4 linked regions of the Pelodiscus sinensis genome follow. The protein of the gene in region 2 purifies or fractionates together with the protein of the main gene of each other region. This does not show direct contact. Links are inferred from orthologs where the notes say so. Each region holds a gene or a part of one and is shown on either strand. Other genes may lie near its edges. The genes, in order: DNA repair protein XRCC1, PARP1, CTCF and TCF7L2.

Evidence for each region.
Region 1: the proteins of PARP1 (region 2) and DNA repair protein XRCC1 purify together in Homo sapiens (affinity purification with western blotting; 9 studies listed by BioGRID and IntAct, with this or other methods). This does not show direct contact. The link is inferred for Pelodiscus sinensis from reciprocal best matches to the Homo sapiens genes PARP1 and XRCC1.
Region 3: the proteins of PARP1 (region 2) and CTCF purify together in Homo sapiens (affinity purification with mass spectrometry; 6 studies listed by BioGRID and IntAct, with this or other methods). This does not show direct contact. The link is inferred for Pelodiscus sinensis from reciprocal best matches to the Homo sapiens genes PARP1 and CTCF.
Region 4: the proteins of PARP1 (region 2) and TCF7L2 purify together in Homo sapiens (affinity purification with mass spectrometry; 3 studies listed by BioGRID and IntAct, with this or other methods). This does not show direct contact. The link is inferred for Pelodiscus sinensis from reciprocal best matches to the Homo sapiens genes PARP1 and TCF7L2.

Annotation. Positions count from the first base shown.
Region 1 is NC_134734.1:123,896-131,745, reverse strand, and holds the start of DNA repair protein XRCC1, read right to left. Parts: upstream 3,010-7,850; 5' UTR 2,901-3,009; coding exon 2,850-2,900; intron 2,684-2,849; coding exon 2,591-2,683; intron 2,007-2,590; coding exon 1,899-2,006; intron 1,071-1,898; coding exon 912-1,070; intron 70-911; coding exon 1-69. Other genes in the region: phospholipase A2 inhibitor and Ly6/PLAUR domain-containing protein-like, read left to right, coding at 6,197-6,245, 7,089-7,205, 7,559-7,711. UniProt on the Homo sapiens protein: Scaffold protein involved in DNA single-strand break repair by mediating the assembly of DNA break repair protein complexes. Negatively regulates ADP-ribosyltransferase activity of PARP1 during base-excision repair in order to prevent excessive PARP1 activity.
Region 2 is NC_134713.1:157,460,434-157,467,979, forward strand, and holds the start of PARP1 (poly [ADP-ribose] polymerase 1), read right to left. Parts: upstream 3,012-7,546; 5' UTR 2,843-3,011; coding exon 2,723-2,842; intron 1-2,722. UniProt on the Homo sapiens protein: Poly-ADP-ribosyltransferase that mediates poly-ADP-ribosylation of proteins and plays a key role in DNA repair.
Region 3 is NC_134722.1:48,651,643-48,659,141, forward strand, and holds the start of CTCF (transcriptional repressor CTCF), read left to right. Parts: upstream 1-4,491; 5' UTR 4,492-6,411; coding exon 6,412-6,417; intron 6,418-7,499.
Region 4 is NC_134718.1:65,218,596-65,226,446, forward strand, and holds the start of TCF7L2 (transcription factor 7-like 2), read right to left. Parts: upstream 3,004-7,851; 5' UTR 2,392-3,003; coding exon 2,203-2,391; intron 1,944-2,202; coding exon 1,877-1,943; intron 1,670-1,876; coding exon 1,545-1,669; intron 1-1,544. Other genes in the region: VTI1A (vesicle transport through interaction with t-SNAREs homolog 1A), read right to left, coding at 7,643-7,681. UniProt on the Homo sapiens protein: Participates in the Wnt signaling pathway and modulates MYC expression by binding to its promoter in a sequence-specific manner. Acts as a repressor in the absence of CTNNB1, and as activator in its presence.

The sequences.
Region 1 (7,850 bases), on a different chromosome or scaffold from region 2:
TTTTGATGGGGTTTCATTGTTTTCGGGCGGCGAGTGGAACTTCACGAAGGACAGCCCATAAGCCAAGGTCTACAGGAGATCAGCCAGAAAGAAAGTGACTCACTGGCAGAGCTGGAGAGAGAATCCAGAAGTCCTGGCTCACAGCCCCTGTCCCCGGTCTAACCACTAGACCTCATCCTTCCTCCACTTACCCACTGTGTCCACTTTCACACTGTTATCATACATTTGGTACAAAGTCTGCCTCGGGAAGTATCATGTGAAAACTCATAATCTGCAGAACATCATTGTCCTGTTAAAATGTGGAACAACTCTGTGTATAAAGCTATAACCTTCTACTCTGAAGTTACTGTGGGGAATACCCCCAGACTACCTCCTGGGTAGACAGAGACCAGCTCAATACCCCACCAGGCATTACGTGCTCTGGCAGCCAGTCTCCAACAGGGGAAATGCGTGAATAAGAAATGTTCATTGTATACAAGAGAGAGTTCAAGCCGCATGTACATAAGATGAGAGGCAATGGGGGAGAAGGATACCAGGGGCTTCTACCTCACCTCTCCCATTTCATGTTATCAGTGAACGCTGGATGGATTGAACCAAAGGGGAGAGTCCCAGCTTGAAAGGAAATTCAGCCTGCGAAAGAGAAAAGCCCTCCTTGCTCTCCAGTCACTGAGCATGGTAAAGGAAGGTCTGGCTTGTGTCTTTCTCTCTGATAATTTTTCTTTGGACCCAGAGGCAGTCGGGTTCGAGTGTCCCAGCGACACAGCTACTCCCCAGTCCGGACTGTCCCTGGAGCACGTCACCCCTGCCCCACCTCAGCAGGGTGTAGTGAAAATGGCCACTGATCCGCACTGCCCCTTTGGCTCACCCCCGCGGAATCCCTTCCACCCTGGCCAGCGTGCGAGGGGCCCCACCTTGGTGTAGGGCTGAGTGCAGACAATTTTCACTCGGTCCCATTTCTTCTCAGCCGCGGCCTTCACCAGCTTGTCTGGGCCAAACATCCGGACCCGGTTGAGGTTGGTGCCGGCCTTGCTCTCCGAGGGCGACATGAAGGACGAGGTGACCAGCAGCACCTGGGGAGGAGGGACCCTGGTGTAGAGAAGGCTCCCTAACCCTCCGGTGTCCCCCGCCCCAAATCCCGTCACCACCCCAGTCCAAAGGGACCAAGACCTCTGGGAACATTCCCGCACACTCTCTGGCACGGGGACAGGGCACACTCATCCCTACACACTCTCCTTCACGGAGACAGGAGACACACACGTTCCTGCACATTGTCTCGCACGGGGACAGGGGACACACATTCCTGCACATTGTCTCGCACGGGGACAGGGGACACACATTCCTGCACATTGTCTCGCACGGGGACAGGGGACACACACATTCCTGCACATTGTCTCGCACGGGGACAGGGGACACACATTCCTGCACATTGTCTCGCACGGGGACAGGAGACACACACATTCCTGCACATTGTCTCGCACGGGGACAGGAGACACACACATTCCTGCACATTGTCTCGCACGGGGACAGGAGACACACACATTCCTGCACATTGTCTCGCACGGGGACAGGAGACACACACATTCCTGCACATTGTCTCGCACGGGGACAGGAGACACACACATTCCTGCACATTGTCTCGCACGGGGACAGGAGACACACACATTCCTGCACATTGTCTCGCACGGGGACAGGAGACACACACATTCCTGCACATTGTCTCGCACGGGGACAGGGGACACACACACTTTCCCGCATTCTTTCACAGACGGATGAGAGTGGCCGATGGACCTGACCCAACCCCCCAGGGGTCGCTGAACCCGATCCACCCTCGGCCCTCCCGCCCCCCACCCAGGCCTGGGGGCGCCCGGAGCCCAGCACGGGCGGCTCCCTCCTCTCACCTCGTAGTCCTGCTCGCTGGGCGAGGCGGAGCTGCCGGCCAGCACCTCCACGAAGGCCGAGCCCTCGTTGCCCACGTCGATGCTGTGGATCCGCTCCTCCTTCTCGAACTGCCGCCGGGGAGGGGACAGTCACGGCCGGGGACGAGCCCCCCCCAGAGCCCAGGGGTCCGGGCTCCCCGCCCCTCCCCCCCCCAGAGCCCAGGGGTCCGGGCTCCCCGCTCCTCCCCCCCCCCAGAGCCCAAGGGGTCCGGGCTCCCCGCCCCTCCCCCCCCCAGAGCCCAGGGGTCCGGGCTCCCCGCCCCTCCCCCCCCCAGAGCCCAGGGGTCCGGGCTCCCCCCCCCCACCCCCCCCCCAGAGCCCAGGGGTCCGGGCTCCCCCCCCCACCCCCCTCCAGAGCCCAGGGGTCCGGGCTCCCCCCCCCAGAGCCCAGGGGTCCGGGCTCCCCGCCCCTCCCCCCCCCAGAGCCCAGGGGTCCGGGCTCCCCGCCCCTCCCCCCCCCCAGAGCCCAGGGGTCCGGGCTCCCCGCCCCTCCCCCCCCCAGAGCCCAGGGGTCCGGGCTCCCCGCCCCTCCCCCCCCCCAGAGCCCAGGGGTCCGGGCTCCCCGCCCCTCCCCCCCCCCCAGAGCCCAGGGGTCCGGGCTCCCCGCCCCTCCCCCCCCCCAGAGCCCAGGGGTCCGGGCGCCCCGCCCCCACCTGCAGGATGACTGACAGCTGCTTCTCGCCGGGCTGCGCCGCCCGCCACTTGCGGTAGGTGTCGCCCTTGAGCAGGTTCTCGGCGCAGTGAGTCTGGGGGGGGGGGAGACTGTCAGGGGGCCGCGCACCCCCGCGCGGAATGGACTCTCCCGCCCTGCTCCCCCGCGCTCCACGGGGAATGCCCCTCCCGCCTCCCCGGGACCCCCCCACTCCCTAATGGTCTCTCCCAGCCCCCCCCCCGGAATGGTCTGCCCCGCACCGGGTCGGCGCTGCTCGCGGACACCACATGACGGATCCCGATCTCCGGCATCGCCGCGCTCCGCGCCGCCCCGACCCGGGAGCAAAACTCCGCCGCCCGCCGGAAGCAGAACCGCTCTGCGCCTCCGGCTCTGTGTGCGCCCGGTCCTCCGAGCGCTCTGCGCAGGCGCCGCTGCGCAGCGAGAGGCTATGCGCATGCGCAGCGCCCGGCGTCGCCTGAAGCGGCGCGCGCCGGTGGCCCCTTCGCGCCTCTTTCCCGCGTTCCCCGCTCGATCGCGGCGCATGCGCCTTGCCACCGGTGCTGCCCCCCCTGGCGGCACAGAAGGAAAGTCGCCTCTAAGGCCGTCATGACGTCATGGAGCACGTGCCCCCTTCCTCTCTGCCGGGGCTCGGGGCGATCGCTGGTGCCGCGCTTCGTGCGCACGCGAGCTCACCAACAGCTCACCACAACCGTGCACACGTGCAAATCACAGCTCGGTCACCGAGCCCCTGCTCACCAGAACCCTACCAGCTGGGGCCTGTAGTCACCCTCTTGGCTGCCAGGTTTGCACAAGGACAGGGGACACGCTCACACCTGTGCACACTCGCACGGGGACAGGGCGCACACATTCCTGCACACTCTCCTGCACGGGGACACACTCACACCTGTGCACACTCTCGCACGGGGACAGGGCGCACACATTCCTGCACACTCTCCTGCACGGGGACACACTCACACCTGTGCACACTCTCGCACGGGGACAGGGCGCACACATTCCTGCACACTCTCCTGCACGGGGACACGCTCACACCTGTGCACACTCTCGCACGGGGACAGGGCGCACACATTCCTGCACACTCTCCTGCACAGGGAAAGGGCACACACATTCCTATACACTCTCTCACATAGGGACAGGGGACACACTCATTCCTATACACTCTCTTGCAAGGGGACAGGGCACACCCACACTTTCCCACATTCTCTCGCACAGGGGTGAGTGTGGCCAATCAGCCTGACCCAACCCACCCTGCCCAGTGTTCTGCACCCCCCATGCCTGGCTGGGATGCCAGGATGGACCCGCCTCTCCTGGTACCAAGTGCTGCGCCTTCTTGAGGCAGCGGGTGGGGGGCAGGCAGGGGCAGGGTCATACCAGGAGGCCAGCAGGAGCCCTTTCGGCACCATGCAGGAGGGACGGGAGCTGCATCCATTTTTAAGAAAAAATTGGGACTCCCCTGGGAGGGCTTAAATATGGCGCTGTCCCTTTAAAAAGGGTCACCCTAATTAGCACCCAGGCCTGCCCCTCCAGCCAGGCATCAGAGCCCGGGAGAGCCCGCGAGGGGGGCCCGGGGCTGTCACTCCAGCTTCAGCCTTTGCTGCCGTTCTGCCTGCCTGTCCCGGGCCTCTCTGGGGCCTGGGCCAGAAACTCTCTGTGCTGCACAGGCCGGCCCCCAGCCAGCCCAGCCAGGCCTCCCTCAGCACCCTGGGCCCCGGGCCTCCGCCAGGGATCAGAGCTGGGAGAGAACCCAGGAGTCCTGGCTCCCGGGTCCCCTCTAACCATTAGCCCCCACTCCCCACAGATCCAACCCTGGAGTCCCAGCCCCCGCGGGGCGTGGGACAGGGTTCCCGGCCCTGGGCTGAGCCCACCATAGTCTGTAACAATCCCTGCCCCACACTCGGTTCCTAGGGCCTCCAGCAGATGCCCCCCATGCTGAACTGCCCCCCCCCCCGTGCTGAAATGCCAGCCAGGGGGGCCCTGGCTTGAGCTGCCCCAGGGCCGAGACCCACCGGGCCTGGGAGAAGATGTCGTGCCGAGCTGGGGCATTCGCTGCACTTGGGCAGGGCGGGAGGCTGGCGGGGGGGGTTCTCCAGCCCCCGCCGCTGTCCCCAGCCCGGCCAGCTCCCCGTGTCACCTAGAGCCGCCTGCGGCAGCTACCACTTACCATCTGCCCCCCTGCCCTGGGGGCAGGGATCAGCCACAGCGCAGACGCGGGGGCCAGAGAGGTTTGGCTGATCCCCTCCGGGCCCAGGGCCAGACCCCCAAGAGGCTGCTCTCCGTCCCACCAGACAGCTGGCCGGGCCCCCTCACACTCACATGAGGCCACCTGCCCCCCACCCTGACACCAGCATCACCCGGGAGTGGGGTGGTCCCAAGGTGCCCATTGCTCCAGACCCCCCCTTTGGTCCCCAACACTGCGCCCTCCTTGCGGCTGGGTCTGTGCTCCAGCCCCCCAGGAGGTTCCCCCATGTGGGGCCGTGAACCCCCCTCCTGCCACTCCTGGGTGGGGGCAATTCTGGTTCCTTCCCTGCAGCCAGTCCCCAATAAATCAGTGCGGGAAACAAAAGGCCATTGTTTGACAGCTGGCCAGCCTGTTCCAACCACTGACCCCTGCTGGCCTCCCAGGGCTGGGACAGAAACCTGGGCGCCCCGCCAGCCCCTCTAACCACTAGACCCCACTGCTTTCCCAGATGTGGGGTAAGAACCCAGGAGTCCTGGTTCCCTGCCTGCCCCCTCTCACCGCTCAACACCACTGCTCTCCAGGATCTGGGGCTAGAACGCAGGAGTCCTGGCCCCCACCGCCTCTCGCTCTAACCACTAGGCCCCAGTCCCCACCCAGAGTGGACCCCTCCTTTGGGCAGTGATACAAGCAGCATCGTGTGGCCTCTCAGGGCTCCTTACTGCCCTGGGACCGCGCCATTCTGGGCCCAGCCTGGGGTGGGGGTAGGTGCCCCAGAGCCTCTTCGGAGGGAGTTTCCCCCTAACCCGGCTCCGGGGGCTCTGGCCCGGCCTGCAGGAGCCTGTCTGTGCCCGTGGCAGCGCCTCGCACGCCCGGGGTTTGCGGACCAGCCGGCCGGCAGCCCGTGCTCCAGCGTGGGAATCTTGCTGGTGGCTGTTGAGCGTGTGGGGTGCTCGGAGCCCGTCTCCCTGGCATTGGGGCTGTGTCCCCCCTAGAGCTCAGACCCTGCCCACATTGGGCACCGGCCGGCCGTGTCCCTGCTGGGCTCCCCCCTCCGGGAACCCTGCGCTAGGGGCAGAAGGCCCGTGGGGGGGGTCTGGGCTGGGGCAACGGGGGATGAGGATGCTCTCAGGCGCCCCATGTCCCAGCCCCGGCCTCTCCCCGCCCCAGATCCCCCCGGCCTGGCAGGGGCGGCCCTGGGCTGTGGTGCCACGTCCCCAGGCGGGTCCGGCTGGCAGGAAAGGCAGACGTGGCCACCTGTGAGAGGGCCAGGCCAGGTAATTGATGGCCCCGCAGCCGGATCCCTCCAGGAACTGGCTGTTCCCAGGCCCCGCAGCTATAAATCCCCACGGATGCAGGGCTGGCTGCATCCAACGGTCAGCTGCCCTCCTGCCCGGCGCTCGGCTCGGCACCATGGCCGCCCGCCTCGCCCTCTGCCTGCTCGCGGCGCTGCTGGCCACCGGTGAGTGGGAGTCTGGCGCCAACCACCGCCCCCACCCTTGGGGCTGCCCTCCCTCTAACCACTGCCCCCCGCTGCCCCAGGGGCTGCCCCCACGCTCACCACTGCCCCCCGCTGCCCCAGCTCTAACCACTACCCCTCACTGCCCTCGGCACTGCCCCCGCTGCCCTCGGCACTGCCCCCGCTGCCCTTGGCACTGCCCCTGCTCTAACCACTGCCCCCGCTGCCCTCGGCACTGCCCCTGCTCTAACCACTGCCCCTCACTGCCCTCAGCACTGCCCCTGCTCTAACCACTGCCCCCGCTGCCCTCGGCACTGCCCCTGCTCTAACCACTGCCCCTGCTGCCCTCGGCACTGCCCCTGCTCTAACCACTGCCCCCGCTGCCCTCGGCACTGCCCCTGCTCTAACCACTGCCCCCGCTGCCCTCGGCACTGCCCCTGCTCTAACCACTGCCCCCCGCTGACTCCCCAGAGCTCCCTCTCTAACCACTACCCCCCGCTGCCCTCGGCACTGGCCCTGCTCTAACCACTGCCCCCCGCTGACTCCCCAGAGCTCCCTCTCTAACCACTACCCCCCCCATTGCCCCCATAGAGCCAGGGAGAGAACCCAGGCCTTCTGGCAGCTCCATTTCACTCACCCTCCTGCTCTAACCATTAGACTCCACTCCCTAACCAAGGAACCCAGGAGTCCTGGCTCCCAGAACAGCTGCTGCAAGCCAGGCTCTGCTAGTGCCTGGAAGGAGCGCTGCGGGAGACCAGGCCAGGCTGCCGCACTGGAATGATCTGGGGGGGGGGGGGAGAAGTTGGCGACCCTACAGGTTACCCCCCCAACCCCCTCCCTCCCCAGGATGCTGCCTTCAGTGCGAACGCTGCACCAGCGCTGACAAGGCGTGCTCCGGAGAGCCGCAGGACTGCGAGCCCTCCCACACCTCCTGCCTCATCCTGACCTCCGAGACCACAGTCGGTGAGTGGCTGCGTGTCCGCCAGCCTGGTGGGGAGGGGCTGGGCACAGCTGCTAGCCAGCCAGCGGGGTCCCCAGCACGCCGGGCGCTGCCCAGACCCCGGCTGAGATCGGGGCCCTGTCGTGCGAGGTGCTCTGGCATCAACCTGTGGAACTCCTCGCCAGGGGATGTTGTGACGGCCAGGACTTTAACAGAGTTCCAAAGAGAGCGAGATAAATTCATGGAGGTTGGGTCCATCCATGGCTATTAGCCTGGGCTGGTATCCCCCTGGGGCCCCCGGGCAGCCTTCGCGGGGGGCTGGGTCCCGGCTCTGCCCGTCCAGCCCCAGGGATTCTTCTTCCCGTCTCGCCCGCAGGCAAGGAGCGGAAAATCGGCACGTACAAGGGCTGCACGGAGGCCAAGTTCTGCCCCCCGCGCTCCTCCAGCCTCAGCTCCGCCTTCGGCCTGCGCGTGCGGAGCGCCGCCAAGTGCTGCCAGCGCGACCTGTGCAACAAGGGGGCCTTGAAGTGTACGAACCAGCCCCCTGGCCGGCCCTGCGCTAACCACTGCACCCCGCTGCCCTCCTGGGACCAGGCCCAGAGCCCAGGCATCCTGGCGCCCAGCCCCTACGCTAACCACTGCACCCCGCTGCCCTCCTGGGACCGGGC
Region 2 (7,546 bases):
AGGTGCAAGCCATAGAAGGAGCTGGTGGCTGCCCTACTCCCATGGCTGGCCTGCCTCTTCCCCCATGGTGGGGGGAGATCAACCCCAGTCTTCCCCCAGCTGGCTAGATGCCACCCCAGCCTTGGCAGGGGGAGGTGTAGTCGCACGCTCTGCACCCCCTCTGTGTACGGGTCTGATTGGGAAGCAGAGAATAAGGTAGAAAGGAATGGCAAGAGTAAAGTGAATAAAGTGAGGGCAAGAGAGGAAACAGAGCAGACACCAAAACAGATGGAGGAAAAGATACCTAGCTATATTGTGGTAGAAAGAAAAGAAGTGAAGAGAAAAGGAAGGAAGAAAAATATAAAGGCAGTTTAATAAATTGAGGTTTTGTGTTTTACAGAGCTAAATACCTACGTTACAACAAACAGCTCTATTTTGGGAGGGGAAAAAAAGGCATGCAGGAAACCTTTGCCATTCATGGGGGAACCTCCTATATTTAATGGAAACAACTAGAAGAGTATCAGTGCCTCTTGGGAAGCAGAAGGCTGCAAGCCAGTGGTGAATAAACTCAGTGGGAGTTGGACAGATTTTTCAAGCCCTACCCTAACGAGAAGAGATCTCCCTCCTGTGCTACTTTCACTCATAGGCAGAGCTAGACAAATAATGCAATCTACTCGCCAACCCAGAAGAGCTGGGTTCGGGCAATCTGCGCATGTGCAGATAGCCGGACAGCGCGGCTGGCAAGCAGGGCTCGCCGCAGTTCGGCGAGCCCTGCTCATAGAGATGTAGGGATCAGAACACAACCACACTAGGAATAGTTGGCACTTGGACATTATCTGAAAAGTCCCCTATTGAGGAATTTGTGAAGTGCTCAAGACTCTGGAATGTTATCTTATTTGGCTGAAGCAAAGGCAACAGCAACAGAAATTAGACCTCTCTCCATAAAGGGTCTGTGGTAGATGTTAAATTTCAATAGCTAATCGAGTAGTCGATGGAATTTCGACTACTTGATTAGTCGATAAGGGGGGCCGCCTGCGACTTGTGCATTTCAAAGGCAGAGGCACAGCTGGGAACCCTCGCGAGCATGGACTGTTTCGATCCCCACTTGCACCATTTCCCCACTGCGCATGGTGGGGGAGGGAGGGAGAGGGGAGAAGTGACTAGACATGTAGTGACTCTTCCCCATTAGGGATGTAAGTGATCACTACCGCAGGCAAGCCTAGGGTTATGTAAAATCCTGTTTAATCAATTAACTGATATGTCGTTTAAGAAGGTATTAATTCCAAGGACAGAAGAATGCCTCTGCACCAGGTTTAATCATGGATGTGGCCAAACTATAATTATGACACACGTGTTCCTGTGTGGACTGAAAAAAAAAGAAAAGAAAAAGAGTAATCATAACCACGTTTTAACCTTGGTAAATTCCTAGGTTTGTGTACACTAGCCTTCTGTGCAGCTTTGCTGTCTTGTCAGACCTGGCAACAAATGCATCTAACCAGAGGGAAAAATAGAGCAAGGTGTGAGAATTCACTGATAAGGTGGTAAAGCAGATTTCTTTACAAATGCAAAGATCAAAAAAGGGGAGAGAGGGAATGCTACTTGCCACTAAAAATAGGTTAAACTCATCTACAGACAGGAAGGAAGATTTGTGTATCAAACACAAATAGCATTGTCCAAAACACATCTTAAACTGCCCAGGAAAATGCCTTCAAAGTTCCTCAGCAATAATGGAAATTGAGTTCACACTTCAACTAAATGCCTCATTTTGACCTCCAGCCCTCCCCCATCTGCAATTATTTGTCTCCACATACAGGTCTCAAAGCTGCAGACTGAGGTAAACAGTTTTTTTTAAATTGTATCCTTGGGTATATATGGTCGAGACTATTTTCTTCCACTATTTGATCTGAGGAAGTGGGTCTGGCCCACAAAAGCTCATCGTCTAATAAACCATCTTGTTAGTCTTTAAAGTGCTACATAGTCCTGTATTTTGTTTGAGGTAAACAGAGCATTCCAATGTACTTTACAAATGATAAGCAATTCACAAAAAATATACTGAGGAGTAAATGGCCAATATTCCCCAGTGAGGAAGTGAATGTAGTTAGAGTCCAGTATCACATGGACTGAGATTCTATCAGGGATAGAATTTATACTGCTTTTCGTCAACTCTAAATAAATCATGCCTTCCTGTGAAAATCAGCTAAAAATTACACAACTAATTACTGTCAACCAAATAGAGAGAAATTAAAATGGAAGCCATCTAGCACATAACTTAAGGTTTTCTTTGCTTTCTGCCATCATCTAACCACAGCATCAAGCAAGCTGAGACAACGCAATGACTTGGGAATGATGACTCTGCCTTCTGCCTTTCATCTCGCATTCTCGCTCATTTCAAGGTATGGACTTCGAATGCCCCCTAGTCAGGGCAGCCGGAGATCACGTCACTGCTTCTGACTGATGTGCACCGATCACACCATCTTCTGCGGAAACAGCGATCCCCTCCAGCTTGCAAGAGCAGCCCCCCGCTCGCGACTCGGAACCCCGCTCAAGTCCGGCTGACCCCAGCCCGCCGCGCCGCGCGAGCCCCAGAGGCTGCAGCCGCGGAGCGCGAGCCGCGCTGCAAACCGAGAGGGATGAATGGGGCGGACGCTCGGCCCGGGGCGCCGAGGGGAAGGCGGCACGTGGCCGCTGCCGGCCTAGCCGCAGGGAGCTTGGGGGCGGTGCCGGCTCCCGGCCCACGCGGTACCTGCACCATGATGGCCAGGCGCAGCGAGTCCTTGGCGATGCTCTCCCCGCATTTCTTGCACGAGGCGCGGCCGCTCTTGGCGTACTCGGCCCGGTACAGCTTGTCCGCCGGCTCCGCCATGGCGAGCGCGGGCAGGGGACGCGCGGGAGCCGGCGGCAGCGAGCGCAGGCACCCGCCGCGCTAGCCGAGCGCCACGCAATCCACCCGGGCTCAGCCCCGCCGCTCGAGCCGCTGTGCAGCGCTCGACTGAGCCCCCTGGCCGGGCTCGGCGCGTGTCCCGGCTCGCTGCGCTGGAGCGATGGGAAGAAGGACGCAGCTTGGGGCGCGCGGGAAGGTGTCACATGGCAGCGCCTGCTCGGGCGCGCAGTGTAGGGGGCGGGGGCAGAGCGGAGCCCCGCCCCTTGGCCGCGTTGCTGCTGCAGCTGCCAGTCCCAGCCAGCGGGGCTGCTTAGAGTGGCTGCAGGCCGGGGCTGTGTGGTCTGCTGGCCTCTAGCCGCACAGCGCTCCCCTCCCCCCCCCCGTTCCTTGGCCGCCTGCTCGCTTCAAGGCGCTAGAACGTGTCCCTTGAAGTTAGAGCTGGGTGAGGCTGTTTGTACCCTCAGATCTAGCCCCTGCTTACAGCTGGGCTGATATAACCGGGCCAGAGATAAAACTCTCTGGCTCCAGGGGGTAAAACTCACAGGTGGAGGAAAATTCCACTGTTTTCCACAGAGCTCCTCCCACACCTTACCAGTCCCCCTCTGTCCAGGATCCACTTCATGGCTCTGTGCCTACATGAGTTGCTTTAGGGCAGGGGTCTCCAACCTTTTTAAGCAGAAAAATCATTTGAATTTAAGTGCAATCCAAGATTTACCTCAAATATAATTACTCTTGCCCCAACTTTCTCCCCCTTTATTTACGCACACCCAATCCGTGGCCCCACAAAGTCGCGAGACCTCCTCGTCAACCTCCTCCTGGCCTTAGCGAAAGCTGCCATTTATAATAGCAGGAGGAGGAAGTTAGACAAGGGGGTTCTCTGCAACTGTGGGGCCTATTTCTGCTCCTCCCTCGTGTCATGAATCCGGGCAGAGTTCCTCTGGGCGGCGTCCACTGGCTCCATCGACAGCTTTGAGGAGCAGTGGGCGCTGTCCGGGGTTCTCTGCTCGGTGTCCCCATCCGGCTCCCTTATTTTGAACCTCTAGCCCGCACTTCTTGATCCTTTAGTCATTATTTGTCCCAAGCAATCAGTTGGACATGGGTCCAGTGTCCCTCCCATAAGGTTGGGGAGGGGCTTTTAGAGCCACCATCCCATGATTTCAAATAGGCCCCCTCCATTCTCTGAGGCCCCACCCCTGCTCCATCCTCCCTCTCTTGCCCATCCTCACTCACTTTCATCAGGCTGGGGCAGAGAGTTGGGGTGCAGGTTCTGGTCTTGGATTAAGGGATCTGGAGCCACTCTTGGAGCAGGCAGCTGGGATGTAGGAGGGGTTCTAAGTGCAGGCTCTGAGGGGTGCTTGGGGTGCAGGGGAAGGTTCATGACCAATGTAGGAGTTCAGGATGTGGGCTCCACCTGGGCTTTGCATACCTAGGTGGCTCCTGATTGGTGATGTAGTGACCTACTCCTTAAAATAGCCAGCAAATTCCATCCCAAGTCTTGTTGTGCCCACTCTTTGCTTTGTGGAGAAAGGATACAGAGTGAGAGGGGACACCCTGATATCATCACTCCTCATCTTCCTCCCCTGCCCTGCCCAGAAAGTAGGTGGCTCCCCAGTGGGAGAGGCAGGAGATGAGCAGCAGTGTGAGGAGGGGCAGCTGAAGTGCTGGCACTTGATAGCCTCTTGGCCAAACCAGGCAGGATCACCTGTCAGAGGCTCCAAGAGCTAAGATTTACTGGTTGGTGACCACTGCTTTAGGGAATCAACACCCCTTTCCCAGCATGGGCCCAATGGCAACTAGCTAGTTCCTGATTCCTCTGAAAGGGGAAATTCTTCACTGTTGAGGGAACCGCAAAAACAGTTAATTCAGTCTCTGTGAAACTCATCACCACCAGACAGCAAGCTGGATGGACTGCGAGGCTACATCTACATTGCACAGTTATTTCAGAATAAGCTGTTCTGGAATAGTTATTCCAAAATAGCTTATTTCAAAATAGCATGTCTATACCGCAGGGAAGCCTAAAAATTAGTCCAAGGCAGGCTTCCCTAATGTAGACGTGCTATCTCAATTTAGAGCTCCAGAAGGAATAACTTAGAATGGCCCTGATAAGGGCCTATTTCATAATTGCAGCATTGGAGCATTTACACACACATTATTGCAATATAGCTATTTCAGAATAGGCGTTATTCTTCGTAGAATGAGTTTTACAGAAGTCAGAATATTTCAAAATAATTTTGAAATAGAATTGCTGTGTAGACACTCACATAGTTATTCCGAAATAACTTTGCTGTGTAGATACACACAAAGCAGCTGCTTTTGCGGAAAAACTTGCCAGTTGTCTATACTGGCTGCTTGAATGTCTGCAAGAACACTGACTTGCTACTGTATGAAATCAGTGTTTCTTGCAGAAATACTATGCTGCGCCCATTCGGGCAAAAGTCCTTTTGCGCAAAGTTTTTGACGAAAGGGCCAGTGTAGACAGCTCAGATTTGTTTTGCGCAAAAAAGCCCCGATCACGAAAAAGCGCGTCTAGATTGGCATGGAAGCTTTTCCACAAAAAGTGCTTTTGCGGAAAAGCGTCCGTGCCAATCTAGATGCTCTTTTCCTCAAATGCTTTTAACGGAAAACTTTTCTGTTAAAAGCATTTGCGGAAAATCATGCCAGTCTAGACACAGCCTGAGTGTTTCCAGGGATCAGGTGTGACCCATGCATTTACACATTCTCAGCTTCCTTTCCCTGATATGGGCCCTGAACCTGCAGAGAGTCCCCAGTGGTGGAGTATTGATGTTAATCTCCATAGAGTTCAGGGGAGATCTGCAGGTAATGAACCACTTCTGTCCTTTTATGTCAAGAGCATAATCTGACGCTGGGGGGGGGGGGGGGGGAATATGATTGTAAGGTTGAGGAAATTAGGTGGTGTACCACAATCCTTCCTTTCGTGCCTGCATTTTCTTACAGGCCTGGATGCTTTAGGCAGCCATTTATGCTTTTTGCTTCTTATTATTCTTTTGTTATTCTCAAAGGCTATGTCTACACTGGCAGGTTTTTGCACAAGAACAGTTGTTCTTGTGCAAGAAGCCGCAGAGCATCCACACTGCCCACCCTCTCTTGCGGAAGAAGATTTACAGTACAGCGTGGTAAGAGAGGCCTTCTTGTGCAAGAACTACGCTCTTTTTTAACAGGTATAAGCCCTCTTGCGCAGGGGCTCTTGTGCAAGAGGGCAGTGTGGACACTCGACAGCGGTTTCTTGCGCAAGAAAGCTCTATGGCTAAAATGGCCATCGGAGCTTTCTTGCTCAAGAGAGTGTCCACACTGCCATGGGCGCTCTTGTGCAAAAGCATAGCTCGCACATGGCAGTGTGGACGTTTTCTTGCGCAAGACTTCTTGCATAAGAACCCTTGCCTAAGATGTTACTACGCAAAAAGCCGCCAGTGTAGACATAGCCAAAGAGTTATCTGTTTGCTCAAGATGGTACAGTGTAGGAATGCACTGTTGACTTTCAACAAGTTTTGGGACAGCTCCCAAGGCCATGCACCTGGTATGGGAGTGCAGGAGGGCTTGGGAAGGTCACATAGATATCTGTGCTGAATGTTTCCAACCTGATAATGCTACTTACTTGGCCTAGGAAAATATACAAAGTATCAAAAAGCTAATTATTGGATGTGGGGAAAATATGCAATGTATCAACGATCTTGTTAGGTTCTCAAAACAACAGGGGTAATTCCTGTAGATCCAACAGTATATAAGTACCAGGGATATTCCTAACATTAGAACCTCGGCGTAGACCAAAGCCACAGAAGGTGCTATGTACTGGCCACTGGGGTCTGTCTGCTGTCCTTCTTCAGGGGGTTCCCGGCACATAGGCATTGCATTTTATTCTGAGGTTTGCTTAGGCTTAATGAGGATTGTATTTTCTTAATAAGTATTGTACTTTATTCTAAATTTGCTTCATTGTACTTTACTCTAATATTAAGCATTGTATTTTACCCTAATATTTGCTTGGTAAAATCTTTAAGCCTTCACCCAATTTGTGTGCTTATTGCCTGTTTGTGTGTGTGTGTGCGCGCATGTGCCAGGCAAAAATCACAGAAAAATCACTTGTGTTTAGATGTGAATGCACAAAAATGTCACAAAAAAGTCCTATACTCTGTGCATTATTGGGAAGCTGACTTGTGTGTGTAGATCGGGCAAGTATTAGTGTCCATTTACAATTCTGTGGTTCTGTAATGAATCCATAATCTTCCTTAGTTCTGGGCATAGGTTAGAATCTTAGAATTCTCCCTAATTAGCAAGGTTGCTGAAGCTCCCAGGTTTGATCCCAGTTGACAGCTATCTGTACAATGTGGAACTATGGTTAACTAGGTCAGTATATAACTTATGTAACTTGTAAATACCACTCTGATTAAGATCATTGCAAAAGAACCCTACTGACATGAACTTACTGGGGATTGTGGTATTCAAAAAAATAAAATAAAATTGAATATTTCAGAATTACAATAGGTACAGTGTATAATTTTATGTACATAATGAATGGTAACATCTTACAGTTTTATAGGAGCATAGTGTACCTGTAGTCACTGGTGAAATAATACAGCTATATTCTGAGTGTATATACCTTCTGTTCACTGCCAAAACCATATGTGTAGCTTGTTGATTAAGGGATACAGTTTTCCCTCCACCAGGAAAAAT
Region 3 (7,499 bases), on a different chromosome or scaffold from region 2:
TAATGGGGTTAAACTGCAGCAGGGGAGGTTTAGGTTGGACATTAGGAAAAAGTTCCTGTCAGGGTGGTTAGGCACTGGAATAAATTGCCTAGGGAGGTTGTAGAATCTCCATCTGGAGATACTTAAGAGTAGATTAGATAAATGTCTATCAGGGATAGTCTAGACAGTACTGGGTCCTGCCATGGGGGCAGGGGACTGGACTCGATGACTTTGAGGTCCCTTCCAGTCTCTCTCTGAAAGTATGGATCTCTCACTGTTTTCTGTTGTGCTCAATGTTATGATTATATCATAGATGCTCATGTAGTATATTGTGAGCACCCCATCTCAGAGTGGACATCACAATTACTGGATCTGTGGTCTGCCACAGGAGGATGGAGGATAGGTCCATCGATGGCTATTAGCCAGGATGGGTAGGAATGGTATCCCTAGCCTCTGTTTGTCAGAATTTGGGAATGGGTGACAGGAGAGGGTTCACTTGATGATTCCCTGTTCTGTCCAATCCCTCTGGGGGCACCTAGCATTGGCCACTGTCAGAAGACTGGATATTGGGCTAGATGGACCTTTGGTCTGACCCAGTATGTCTGCTCTTATGTGCCATGGAAAGAAATAACTCCAGGTGACTTTTGGTATTCATGGAGCAGCTGCACAGCATGGACTGTTGCTTTTGGATTCAGTATGCAAGCAGAGAATGGTGGAATTGCCTCATGCAGCCTTGGGATGACAAGCAGTGGCTGCAGAACTTTCAGATGGAAAAAGTCAATCTTCAAGCAAGTATGCATTGAGCTCACCGCAGCACTGGGGCACAAGAACATCAAAATGAGAGCTTCCCTCTTGGAGAAGCACATGATGATCACTGGAGCTCCAAATCCAGATGCTGCTTGTTGGTTACATATCAGATTGGAGTTGTAAAGTCAACCGTTGAGCAGTAGTAACACAAGTGCAGGGCCATTAATCACATCCTGCTACAAAGACTGTGACTCCTGGCAGTGTGCATGAAATATTGGATGGCTTTGTGGTAATGGGATTCCTTAGCTGCAGCGGGGCAATAGATGGCATGTGTATTCCAATTTTGGCCCCAGACAATCTTATGATGAAGTACCTCCGTAGAAAGGAGTATTTCTCTGCTATTGCAGGCACTTGTGGATAACTATGGGTGTTTCACTGACGTCATTGCTGGATGGTGCACACGTCTTCAGGAACAGTGGCCTCAACTGAAAACTCCAAGCAGGGACTTTTTTCCCGACCTAGATGTTGAAATGCCCCTAGTCACTCAGATGCAGGGTATCCCATTCCCAGGACTTGTGAAATCTTTCACAGGAAACCTGGACAGCAGGAAGAGATGCATCCACAGTAGGTAGAGCACGTGCAGAATAATCATGTGCCTTTGGTGGAGTAAAACCATGCTGGCGCTGCGTTTGTGGCAGGTTAGACCTAAATGAGGAAAATCTTCCTGGGGTCATAGCCAGTGTTCCCACTAATCTGGGCAGCAGCAACTTCACAGGTGATTAATGAGCTCCATCCTGTCAGTCTCAGGGCTCCGTGCATGGAGCTGACTGACTGGGCAGAACTGATTAATCACTTGTGAAGCTGTGCTGCCCTGCAGTTTAGAGGGAACACTGGTCATAGCAGTCTGCTGTGAGCTTCATCATATTTGAGACTAAAAGTAAAACATTTCTCGAGGGGGCACAAAGGCAGTGTTCCCTCTAATTTTTCCCATGCGTGTGCAGAGTTAATTATATGTGCACCAGTATGGAGGTGATGTGCGATAGATGCTGTCACATAGTGTGGGGGAGTCATCAGGCCCTGCACCCCCATCTGCAGTCATATGTGAGTCTCGGACAGCAAATAGAACGGAAGGTGTATTCGTTGATGGGGACACAGCGTAGCACAGACTTGTTACAGGAACCGGGAGCAATCAGTATAATCCATCTTGTGGATGAGGGGTCTAGAGCCCTCTGGGCCCCTGCCCAGCCCCCCAAGCCAGCTAGGCTCTCTTCTCCCTGAGCCAGCTGAAAAACTAACTCTTGCACCCATCAACTGACCCCAGCCCTCCAGGTAGCTCCGCCTCCTCCTTTGTCCTGCTTCCAGGACCCCAGATATTATCTGACTATCACTGGTTGCATCTTCCTTCTAGGGTCAGGTGCCAGGCTGTCCTGGGCCATTCCTTCCGTGCCTTCTCTCAAGAGTTCTCACCCAAAGATCCCATCCCGTTCCGTGCAGGTGTGGTGTCCACACACAGACGCACTCACTACAGAGCAGTCTAGGACAGTAGGAATCGCATCATAATAAATCGAACAGTGAATACAAAACCAGAGTGTACGTCACAGATGTATCGCCTCCACATTGGTGCATATAACAAAATTCACGTGGTGGGGATGGGACTGGGGTTTGAAGGATGGGGGCAGGGGAGGCTGAGGCAGAAGGTTGGGTTATAGGGGTATGTGTGGGGTGAGGGCTCCAGCGGGGAGTGAGAGCTCTGGGCTGGAGCAAGAGATGAGCCGTTTGGTGTGCAGGTTGTCCCAGGGCTGCAGCAGGGAGAAAGGACTCACCCCAGCTCTGTCTCCCCACAGCAGCTCCTGGGCTGGTGCTAGGGAAAGGGGGTCTCTCCCCATTGCAGCCCTGAGAGTCTGGCTGCGTGGCCCTTGGTAGGTGTTGTACAGTTACACCGCTTAAAGCGAGCTTATCTTGGCTGCTGAATTTGAGCAGCCAGATACCAGGGCTGTTCTAAGAGGGAGGAATTCCAATCTGAGAGGGGCCTTAAGGCAGTATTTTGACAATGAGCACAACTAATGTGTTTTTCCATACAGCACTCTGCCATGCTTTGTTAAATTGCCACCTTTCATGAAAGTAGTAATGATTCTGATCAGGATTTGTAGTCAGTAAGTGATCAAACTGCCACTGTATTACTACTAGCAGCGAGCATCCCATGTAAGAGACAAAGCTGGCTTGTGTTTCAAAGAGTTTGATTTTATTAAATACCCAATTAAAGCACACTGAAGGGTTGGTGGAAAGGGAGATTAGAGCGCAGGGTAGTAGAGGGTCTCATAACTTTGGGTAAGTTCAGCTGTCATTTGGAAACTGTCCGAATGGTGGAGTAAACAGCATACAGAGACAAGTCAGGAAGTTGCGAGGAATGTGAGAGCAGTTTGAGGGGGACATGAATGTCAGTTCTGTATGTGTTCTGCCTGGTGCATGATTAGGGACTTCAGCATCTCTGCTTGTTCCTCCATCACTTGGTTCATCCACTTCTGGCCCTTTACAATGCATTCCTCACTCTTCTTTCAGTTCTGCCTTTCTGTTTTAAAATTCTCCTTCAGTGTCTCTCTCCACTCTCTGCATGGGTAGATGGCTTAAGGGGATTACTGCAAGTGATCAGGGACAATATTGTAAATTCTACAGCCAATCTGTGGTCATTGAAGCCGATACCTCACTCCTAAGGCATCAGCAAGATTGCATCTTCTGGACGTGTGGCTCAAACTTGCTCCTTATACTGCTGGTATGTGTGCTGCTTTAGACCCCGCACAAGTGATTGGTACAGGAAAACTCCCTACGATAGGGGAAGGAACAAAGGTGCTCTGCCAAGGGACCTGTGGCAGAGGATTGGCGAGTACCCCCAGGAAAACTTCTTAGATCTCTGTGGAGGAGTCCTATGAAATCATGATGTGCATTAATGCATTGTTCTACCACGTTGCTTAGTACTACAGGAAATACGGAGCACACTCAAACATAGCTAACCTTGTACATTTCTATCCTGTCACCCACTTCAGGAGTATACAGAGCAAAGGGCAGCTCTGCCTCTCTTAAAACCAAGCAACATCAACTCAAAAATATCTTTTACCAGGGTTCTCTTCTGCATCGTGCACACCATAGACAGATGGCTGGGACTAGCTAGACCCCTCCAGAATAGAAAAAGATCCTGATCCAGCGTGCTGCCCGACAGCCCTGACGTGCTCCAGATCATAATCCAGCTTGATCTCCTTATTCACAACTTCGTCCTCATGGTTGAGTCCACTTTCCACCGCCTCCAAAGTATTCACAGGTCTCTTGGCAGTGAAGGTGGGGTCTCCACCAAAGATGGTGTCCAGATCCACATAGAAGCAGCAGGTCGCCAGTACAGCACCAGAGTAATGGTTTGCTTCCCTTGCCTTCGGGTATGTTTGCCTCACCTCCTTTATCTTCACACGGCACTGATGTGCATCCCGTTCATAGCCCATATCCAAGAAACCACGAGAAATCTGCTTGTAGGTATCAAAGTTTCTACAGCTGGAAAGGAGCTGAGACTGCACATGCCAGCAGACCCAACAACTGAGGCGTGCTCCACGTGGGAGAGTATTTGCTGCCTGGAGCTCCTGGAGCTGCCATGGCCAGCTGGAAAGATGTGCTGTAAGCTCTCCAAGCTGAGAAAACAGGATGTGGAATTTCAAAAATTCACAGACATTAAAGAGGAAGGGGCAGATGCCTTTGTACCTGGGTGCAGGGTCAGGATAGGCATTATGGGACATCTGGCCTCAAGAAGGCGTCCCATAGTTTCCCATCATGACTACACTGCTGTCCAGCAATCAGGTACACAGGTATATGCCCTTCCCTTTTAAAGCCCTGGAAATTTTTGAAATTCCATTTCCTGTTTGCTCAGCATGGAGAGATCACCTGATGCCTGCCCAGCTGCTCCATATGCTATACATGCTTCTGCCCAGAGTGCCCAGGAGATGGTGGATTGCCTGGGTCTGTGGGGAGAGGAGTCTGTGGGCTCAGTGCAAATCCAGCTGAAGAAACATTGTTATTCCTCTTCCTTAGTTCACATCGCAGGCAGGCTGGGTCTGACCTCATTCAGAGAAAATCGCAATAGGCGCATTTCCAGTGTGCTATTACTACCCAGACAGCACTCTTTGCACTCCAGTATGAACCTGGAAAAAACCTCAGACAGAGCACACTGCAACACACATTACTATGGCTCAATATTAAGACAGCCTTTCAGGCCTCCCTGAGCTATATAGCTCTGTGGGCTTCTCTTATAGCCCTGGTATCTGTCTGCTCAAAATCAACAGATAACTGTTTCACTTCTGCTTTCAACCTCAGCAGATACTTTCCCCCTTTTCTTCACAACTATTGTGAAGCGCACGGCAGGCATCTCTAATCTTTGGGATTTTTTTCACTGAGATCTAATCTTGTGAGGAGGAGTAGATGAAGTTCTTGCTGCTGTGGAGGTGACCAGCATACAGCTTCATCAGCCATAGGAGTAAGAGAGGCTGGGTCTCCCAGGGTCACTGCTGGCATTTCAACATCTACAATGGTTATCCTCTCATCTGTAAATGAAGTCCCTGAGTGGCGCTTTCAGAACAGACCTGTGTTCTTAATTACATGTATTTTCCATGACTCTCTTCCACTTGCGTTGGCATAACTTTCCTGGTGATCCACCAGCACTTGCAGTGACATAGAGCAGTGTCCCTTTCTGTTGCTGTTCTCTGTGGCAGGGTTGTCTGGTACCAAAATAGGAATATGTTTGCCATCTATTGCCCCACTGCAGTTTGGGAACTGTGTTGCTGCAAAGCCATCCACTACGTCCTGCACGTTGCCCAGAATCATGGTCCTTCACAATAGGATGTGATTAATGCCCTGCATACTTGCATCACAGCAACTCCCAGCATGGATTTCCCAAATCCAGTTCCTGACTAATAGCAACCTGGCATTGCAAGCTTCCACACAGCCATTGCCTCTTGCTTCTCCACTGTCCATGCCACTCTCATTTTGGTGTCACTGTGCCAAAGTTCTGGGTCGAGCTCTGCACAGACTTCCAGGGATATAGCCTTGCACATTCAAAAGTTCTGCAGCCACTGCTGGTTGTCCCATACCCACATAACAGTGTAATCCCATCAGTCAATGCTTGTTTCCCAGGACCAGAATTAGGGCTCCACTGTCTGCAGCTGCTCCATGAAAGCGAACAGCCGAAAATTGTTTCCTTCTGTGTCCCACAGCAAGGCAGCCTCCAAGGAATCATCTTGTTCTGCCCGGCTCCTCTGGTGGCTTTCCAAATACTGCAGATCAGGCTCAGCGTGCTCACAATGCCCGCCCAGTAGTACAGAGCTATGGAGTATCCATGCTTCTCACAGAGTTGGCAGACGTGCAGATTAACAGCACATTTGAAAAGAAGCTCAAAACATTACAGGAAGCAGATAAAATTATGGGATGAAGAATACTGCCTCGTGGGATGTTGAAACCATGTTTCCAGTCGTGCTGCACAACTTGTTTGCCCCCATGAGGCACTGCAAACCCTGCGCTAGATGGTGATGAGTTCAGTGGGATAGCTACCCATGGTGCACTGCTCTGTCAGTGCTACTAGTGAGACTGTGCACCATCGACACAAGAAGCATAGTGTGGATGTGCAGAACGATGTAATTACTGCTGCAGCTGTACATGGAGGTAATTTAAATTGACTTAATTTTGTAGTGTACACTTTGCCTTAGTCAATTTCTCAGCCGCTGCTTTCCTGAAAAGAGGTGGTAGATAAGTGACTGCCTGTGATGTTTGTAGTAAAGAAAAAGGAGCTGAAGAAATACATGCGTCTTGGTTTCCTTCTTGATTAGTAAGTACAGATGGAAAAGTGGCTTCCGCTGACAGATGCAGTGATACATTACTGGAGCTTGTGGACATACAGATTTATAGGACTTTGTGCAAACGTGTTCTACCCCAATGCGTTAGAGTGACTGCAACTTCTGAGCACAAACAGTTTAACTATAATCCTAGGGCCCTTATTCGGTTTCTTCTTTTGATCCTTATCCCGTCTTCCTTATCATGCTGCCTTGCTCCATTCACTCCTCTCACTAGAGTGATGTCTGTCAGTATCGCTTATCCTTCTGTGTCCCTACCCAAATCCCCGGGCTAATTATGATTCTCAGCCAGGGGCCCCGGTCCCCTAGGGGATCACAAGCTGGTTTCAGGTATTCACCAAAATAGGGAGTAGGGCTGGCATTAGACTGGCTTAGGCCCAGGACAGAAAGCAGAAGCGCAAGTCCCACCACTCAGCCCTGCGCTTTGCTGGACACCCAGTAGCACGAAGCCCCAGGCAGTTGTATTGTCTGTTGCCCCTTGACACCAGCCCGCAATGGTAATCTACTGGATTTGCAGAAAACCAGTTGGTGTGGGCTGTGGGATTTGTATAGCATGTTGGGGGGCATCAGAATAGGAATGTAAATCTCGTTTAAATGGTTATCCAGTTAAACACATTGTTAAACATACTGGTTAACCAATTAAAAGGGAGCAGTCTCCACACTCACTGCTGGCCTGGAGCGCCTCCCCCTGCCTGCTGCAGGCAGGGGCTACTCCAGCCTGGACAGAGCAGCCGCTGCCTGCTCCCCTCCTCTCCCCCTGACACAGGCAGCAGCTGCTCTGGTGCCGCTGTCAGAGCAGCCCCTACCTGTGGACTTAGGCTGCTTCAGCCCCAAAGCTAGTCCAACCCCTGCCTGCAGCGGCCTCCCTGTGGGGCTGGAGCAGCCTCCTGCCCG
Region 4 (7,851 bases), on a different chromosome or scaffold from region 2:
AATATTTTAATGCTTTGAAACACTTGTAGATCTGATAAACTGGGATCGTCCAAGACTTAAGCCATTACCACAGATTCAACATCTACTGAACAGTAGATCTATTATTTCAAATTGCTCTCTCAGGTTACAAAAAAACGTGTAAATAGATACATGGTAATGGCGGGGGACCCTTCAGATTTAAAAGCACCTAAAGAATGCTAACAGACAACTGCTGGGCAAGTGTAAACAAACACTTCTTAACATTCTGTATTCCCCATGGGTTTACCATTCATAATTTTTAAAAAAACCCTCCTTTTAAAAAAATTAGTCTTGATATGTGCTACATCGGGGCATATAGCAGTTAGTGATAGATACTCCAAGACATCAAAGGAGAAACAGCAGCCAAGCCTACCCCATCACAGCCCAAAGTTTAATAGAACTCCACTATCTGAACTACAATTACTAACCCTCCCTCCTCCACCAGACACACACACACACACACACACACACACACACACACACTTACTCTTTTCCCAAGAAAATCCAACCCTTCACACTGACACACACATACATATTTGCAGCAAGATTATTATTAAGATTATTATTTGCAGCAAGACTACACTTCTATGTGCGAAGGTGTTTAATGTATTCATTTTTAAAGACAGTTTCTGTTTATTGTATCACTGTTAGTCTGTGATCTGCTCTAAGCCCTTCCAGGACTTATTTTAGCAAGACACACAAATAAAGAACTCCTTTCAGGTCTTTCTCCCCTTGCAAAATAAGAGCAACGTGTTTAGGTCGGGGTAAGGAAGGGCTTTTCCTTGTCACCGCTAAAGAGATGGATGCATCTCCCTGATCAAGGTCTGTGCATGTGTAAAATAATCAAGGATGTTAGTGTGTAGTTCAGTGTCAACCGCCACCACCTCAAAACGTGTAAAAACTTAAACCACACTTGCCATAGACAGAGAGTGAAACTGCTGAACTCAAGTGAAAAGGCCAGAAAACTTGCAATGGACTTTACAAAAAAGTTTCTAGTCTTTACAAAACAGGGTAAGAGAGAAACTATAGAACTTGGTGACTTGCCAATACAGCACACTGGTATCCCAGACAGCTTATGCAGCAAGGAAGGGGTTAAGGGGGAGGTTAAAAAAGGGAGGGGAAGAGATCAAGACGCCACTGAAGAGGGCAGAAGAAAACAGCTCATTCACCAGGGAAAATAAATAGTTTTGTGGAAATCAGATTTGCGATCTAGCTGATGAGAAAAGAAACCAAAACACAGCCCGGGGTTTTTAGATTGTGGGATTTTTTTTAAGAATCGAAATCCACGGGGTGAAAAGACCTAGTCGCAAAACTGAAAGTAAAAAAGGGGAAAAATATGGCGAAGTGTAAACAAATCCCATTCTGCAAAAGCCATAAAAGTTTGGAAAGTTTCTAACGATGGGGGAGGGGGGCATGCAGGAGGCATCGGGGGACTCAGAGCTGGGGGGGGGGGGAAGAGGAAGGAAATGTACAATCAGAGCAGCAAACGTTTAAAAAACACACATCGGTGGATATGCGCCACTTACTGTTCGTGCTGTCGGCGAGAGCGATCCATTGGGGAGGTACGGGCTGGTCAGGTCGGGGATCATTATAAAAGGATAACCAGGGTATGGTGGGCCCTTAAACAACCCTCCATCTTGCCTTTTCGCAGCTAACATGGCGGGGCAGAAAGAGAGAGAAAGGGGGTGAAAAGGGGGGCAAACAAAAGAGGACACATAAAAAAAAAAACTTTGTTTGGAAAGTGCCCCCCCCCCTGCCCGCCTACCCCTCCTGCATTGAAAAGTTACGCGGCGGGCGCAGCTGGGTTTCGGCAGGTCGCCCCGCAGAGCTGGGAGGTTTTTTTGGGGGGGGTACTCACCTTCTTCTAAACTTTCTCTCGATTTATCTCGGAAAGTTTCGGACCTAGGCGGAGGCCGCCTCTCCGCCTGGCAGCACCGGGGAGAGGGGGGTACAAGAAAGGTGGAGGGGGGGGGGAGAGAAAAGAGAGAGAAACATAGTTACAAGTTGGTGCCATGGAGGAAACTTAACAAACATTCTCGCAACATTGCAACACACCACGCTTCCCCCCACACGCGCGCCCTACTTGCTACATCCAGTGGCAAAGCAAACCCCTTCTGCCCCCCACCTGTGTGTGCCCCCAAACCCACGGAAGGGAGGGGGCATTTGGGGGCTTTCCCTCCTTACCTCCGAGTCTGAGGAGCTGTTTTGATTCGTTTCTGATTCATTGACCAGGGAGGACTTGACATCAGCTAAATCCCGCTCGGCCGAGGAGTGGTCGGAGATCTTCTCCTCTTGCTCCCCTTCGTCTTTAAAAGAGATCAGTTCGTCGTTCGCCCCCAAATCGTCCCCTCCACCGCCGTTCAGCTGTGGCATTTTCCTCCCGGCTCACCCCACCAGCAGCAATTTTGCAAAGAGGGAAAGGGGAGAGAGGGGGAAAAAGGGGGGGGGGGAAAGAAAGGAAAAAGTTTGCAAAAAAAAAAAAAGTCCAAGGTGAATGGGTTTTTTTCCTTCTCTTCTTCTCTCTTTCCGCCTGGGGAGGGGAAAAAAAGCAGGAGGAGGAGGGGAGAAAAATGTCTTTCCTTTGCTCTTTGCACCAGTGACTTTGGGTTTCTTCTTCTTCTTCTGGATTTTTTTCCCCCTCTCTCTCTCTCTCTCTTTCTTTCTTCCAGGGAGCGGATCAGCGTGCGCACGGACGCACAGCAAATGGGGGAATAATAATAATTACAAAAAAAAAACAGACGGGGGGGAGGGGAATTTAAAAAAAAATACAAACAACCCCAACAAGAAGTCAGCTGGCTGGGGGGGCAGCGGCTGCCGATCTAGGGAGCCCGTGCCGCTCGGGTTTGAGTGAGTTGAAGTTAGACTGAGAGCTTTTCAGTTCAAAGGCGGCGCTGATTGACAGATAGAAAAAGGGGAATCGAAATCCGGAGGAACGGAGAAGTCTGGGATTCGGGATTATTGACAGGGAGAGAGAAGCACACTAGGCACTTAATGAGATGCAGGAGGGGGCGGGGGCTCCCCGGGTGACGTGTGCATAAATAAACAGGTTTGGGGAATGAGCGAGGGGAGAAAGAGAAGGAAGGGGGGTGGGGGAGTGGAGAAACTAACAATGATCCTTTTTGGCAAGAGCCAGAGAGAGAGAGAGAGAGAGAGTGTTAGGGTGGGGGAAAAGGGAAAGGATTTAAGGGAGACAATGGAGGGGGAGGAGGGAATCCATCAGTTGTAAGGGAATGACCCAAAGGAAAACAAAACACATGCAGGAGGGGGAGAGAAGGCAAAAAATTGCACTGTACTTCAGAAGTCAATTTGCACAAGAAGGAAAAAATATATATACAGGAGTTAGGAAAAGAGGGAAAGATGCCTGCCCCTCTGCCTGCTGTTTGCAAAGCACTAACTTTTGCAGAGCAGAGACGATTAAATAGATAGATTTGTATGCATAAGGAAAGTGCAATTTCTCAAACCTCCCCTGTTTCAGTATTTTTATTATGTGTGGTTAGGTTTTGGGGTTGCTTTGTTAAACCGTTAAGATTTTTTTATGGCCAATGGTTGTAGGTAAGAAACTAAAATAATAATGTCATAAAAGCTCTTTTCTTACCTAGCGTTTTCTTTTTACATTTATTGTTGTTATTATAGTTCTGTTGGATTAAAATAGGCAAGATAACTCTTTAGTGTTCAGATTTCTCAAAAAAAAAAAACTTTTTGTCAGACATATTATTTTTACCGTAATGGGGGGAAATGGGACGAAAGGGAATGTGATTGATGCATTAATTAGTAAGAGAGGGGGGAGATCAAGAACTATGTGACTTTAGAGGTGAAAAGTTTTGGTGCTGATGTTGGAAGCATCACAACAGGAAAATTAAAATGAAAGTGGCCAGATGCACTGGAATAAATAGGACCACATGAATGGTCCCACAGCCGGCTAGCAAATGAGTTACCAAATGTAGATAATTGAAGGGGGGATTTTGACCACCAAGACACAAGGAAAGGGTATTCAGTTCAAGGATTTGAGGCAGCAGTTTAAAAAAAAAAGTCACTACCCAAACAGCAGACTTTGCACAGCAACAAAATGGGGAGCAGAATAATGCAGATGCAAGAAATGACATCTGGTACCTGAATATAATGTGTTGAAGAGAAGAGGAAAACAAATTGATCTGCTAGTAGTGACAAATTTTAACAATGGTCTAGTCAATGGGAAACTTTAACATGGGCAAGGAACAAAGGAGGGAGGGGGGCACAGAGACAGTAAATTCAATGGGAATTAGTAAATTGCCTAATGGAAAATGGTGTTAGAAAGCAAGGAGACGGGCTGTACTAAATAATCCAAACATTCCCCAAGAAATCTAACCTGCTGCTCCTACTAAGGGCCATTCAGCACGTAGGATTTTCAAAACAAAGTCAATTTGTCATGCAATATTTAGAGAGTTTGGGGATTTCAGCTAAACTGTCTTCTCTGAAAAGAATAATAAAAATAATAATACAGAGATCGACAAGGCTAACAAATTCTCAGGCATTAAAAAGTTCACATAGAAATTTGCATACTAAAGGGAAAGATGCAGACAAAATAGAAATAAAAAAATCACTGCAACTTACAACTTTAATATTAATCAGTAAAGCAGAAATAGAGTGAAAGGAAGCATGAAAAGAAGTAAAACAAATGTGTACATTTAATCAGACAGGATTGCATAGGACACAAAGAACAGGGCTAATTAGTCTCAGCAGGTAGGGACTAACCTTCAGACTTCATAAATAAATAAGTCTGTGAACAATGTCTAAATGGGAGTATGGAGACAGAAAAGGGATTATTTCAAGACACCAAGTAAAAACATGAAGAATGAAATACTTCACTGTTAAATCAATGTACAAATGGATTTAACAGTTTCTTTTTCTTCTGGTCTTTTGACTAACTTGTTTTTACTTTTAGACATTTTCAAAATAGCTATGGTTGGTCACACACTTCTCAATTATCCCTGGCTATGTAATGGCTACATTCTGCAAGTTGTTTACTTGCAAAAAACCACAGTAACAAATATACTCAATTTTGTTTGCCTTTTGATTTTTTAAAATCTTTTTAACTCTGGTGTGAGGTGAGATTAGAAACACCACGCAACCTGAACTTCTGCTTACTTTATAGGACCAAGCATTAGAAGATGATCCAATTTAACAAAAAAACTCTTTTGTTTTAAAGGGATTTTTATGATCTGGTCTGGATTTTTGGCAAACGTTCTTCCCTAACAATTTTGCACTGTAATTAGTGCCATTGCTTGTTTAACATCTAGAGTGTGGTTGGTTTCCTACTAGATACAGGACAATCCCCGCCTCAGGGAGCTAACAAATAAAGGACCTGATTCTGTAAACAGTTATGCATATGCATAAGCTTATTTATGGATTCCTCATGTAAGTAATACTGCTGATGTTCCTAAACGGTTGTAAGATCAGGCGCTAAAGTTTTCGGCCCTGATCCTGCACTGGGAATCCAGGTGCACAGGTTGTCCCTAGCAAATCCTGAGACAAGTGTTAGGTCCCAATCCTGGAACATATTCTTCGCTGCACCTGCATGGCTGGATCTTTGCACCTGCACAGAATCCCCATGTGGTCAAAGGGACCTCATACAACGTTCATCACAGGATCAGGGCTTTAGTTATCTTAACCCTATGCATTTTCCTATGACACATGTTTATCCTTTCAAATGTCAATATTTAAAAAAAAAAACAATGGCAAGTCACCGTGCTGTCATTTATTAGAATGCCATTATTTAATTAAGGAATCAGAGTTACTCCTAGTAGCATACACATCAGATCTTATTTATTTCCTGGTTTCCAATTTTAAGAGTTCCAAATATACAAATGCCTTTGGGGAAATGAAATCCCAAAGGGTCAAGAGCACCTGTTAGCTGGAGGGTACCCAAGATAAAAAATGTGTAACTTGCAACAGCCAGAGTAATATAATATTCAGAGGGAAAAAAGTCAAGCTAATCCACTGTGTGAAACATGTGATTGATTGTTTTGATACCCAATTTGAAGCAACAGGTGGTGTGTCAAAGGCAGGTGCTGAGAGTTTGGCCTTCCATAGACATCAGTTATCCTGGCAGAGTTGTCCTGTGCCTGGCAAAGTTGTCTAGATCATCACAGCTCTCAGCCTTGGCACAGTACTCCCTACATTGGGCTTGCTTTGGTAAACAATGGGGAGAAGGTCAAATTAGGGAATTTGTATTGTTTATAGTGAGTATTTTATATTCATGGAATGCCTTTCAACCCAAAAGATTCCGCAGCAGGAACCAACAGTACTAGTCCATGAAAAGCAGAGGGAGGGGGATACACAATCCACAACAGAGAGGAAAGGGAACATTTTGGTCCAGGCTAGTAGGGTAAACACCTTCTTACATGAAAAATTATTTTGAATAATTCGTGTCCCCTCAGCAGCCATGTCTTTAATAGAGAAATATGGTTTACTAATTACCATTTGGACTGAGTAGAACACTGCTTTACATGTGGGACAGGACCTTTGCCTCTAAGGTCTTCTCCAAATGCCCCTCTACTGTAGACTTGCAAGCACAGAACAGAACTCTACCCATCTATATCGGAAGCACAGAATGGCTTGAGTTGACCATGCTAGGATTTTAATCTATTGTTTGAGGGACTTTGAGTGTTTCAAAGGTGACCACGTGGAGCTCTGTCTGTGCTGGCATCCTCAACGTTACTGCCATGTATGCAGCTCCACCAACCTTAGCAAGGGTGGGAAATGTTTCTAGGATAGACAAGGCTACAGAGCCAAAAGATAGAAGTCTGGCTTTTCTAGATAATTAGAGAACTGGCCCAAAAATATGTGGAAGTATAAATAATCTACAAAATAGGGGAATGTCTAAAACACAAAGTTATAGTTCCACTGTGAGATTTTATGTTTGCTTTATCTTTTGTGAGGGCTAACCTGATGGTGGTTTGGTCCTTCGATATTTCCTTTACTTTGCAGCTTGTCAGAGGGAACCTGAGAAATCAGACACCCAGAGACCTTTTACTTACAACTATGAGATCTAACTCCTTTAAATCCATATTCTGTTTCACAAGTCATGTCTATGAAGCAGTAGGAATATTCTGGTTTTTGGCCTAAAGTATTGCTATGCATCTTGATTTGGACAGAGATAATTTTACCAAACTGGTTAAGTGTATGCATGCAGAATGTCATCACATGTTATCAGGAGGTGATATAAAAAATTATAGGTAGGGTGTGTGGGGGGGTGATATCAAGAATTAGAGTGTGTGTGTGTGTGTGAGAGAGAGAGAGAGGTTCCTGAAACACAGAATCTTCCATAACTATACCATTTTTATTGACAGCATGTCTTTTAACCCTAATAGTAATGGAAGAATCCCAATAAATGAAACATTTACTGAATAACTTGCCTTATTTTCGGGTGGTGTCAGATTTCTTTCTAGCTGTCTCTAGAAGATGTTTTTAGCCTAATTTGCTCCCTGGAAATTTCACTCACCAGAGTTATACATCTATGACGTTTTATTGCCTGAAGCCAAGTCTGAATAAGAACTTTCTTAAGGTATACTTACCCTAATGCCAGTCTACAAGAATTGGGCTGCTTTAGTTTGATTTATTTGTGCAACGCTGATAGATGGAGTGCTTATAGGCTTTCGGCCATCATTGTAGAATTGGCCTGTTTCTAAATATTAAAGGAAAAAGAAATAAAATTCAAGAAAACCAGTAACATCCATATTCAATTACTGTAAAGGTGCTTAGTTAAATTAATTGTCCTGTATACTTATTTATCTATATTTTCCAAACAAATTAACACAAATAGAAATTTCATGTGTTTATTTTTGCAGGAATTCC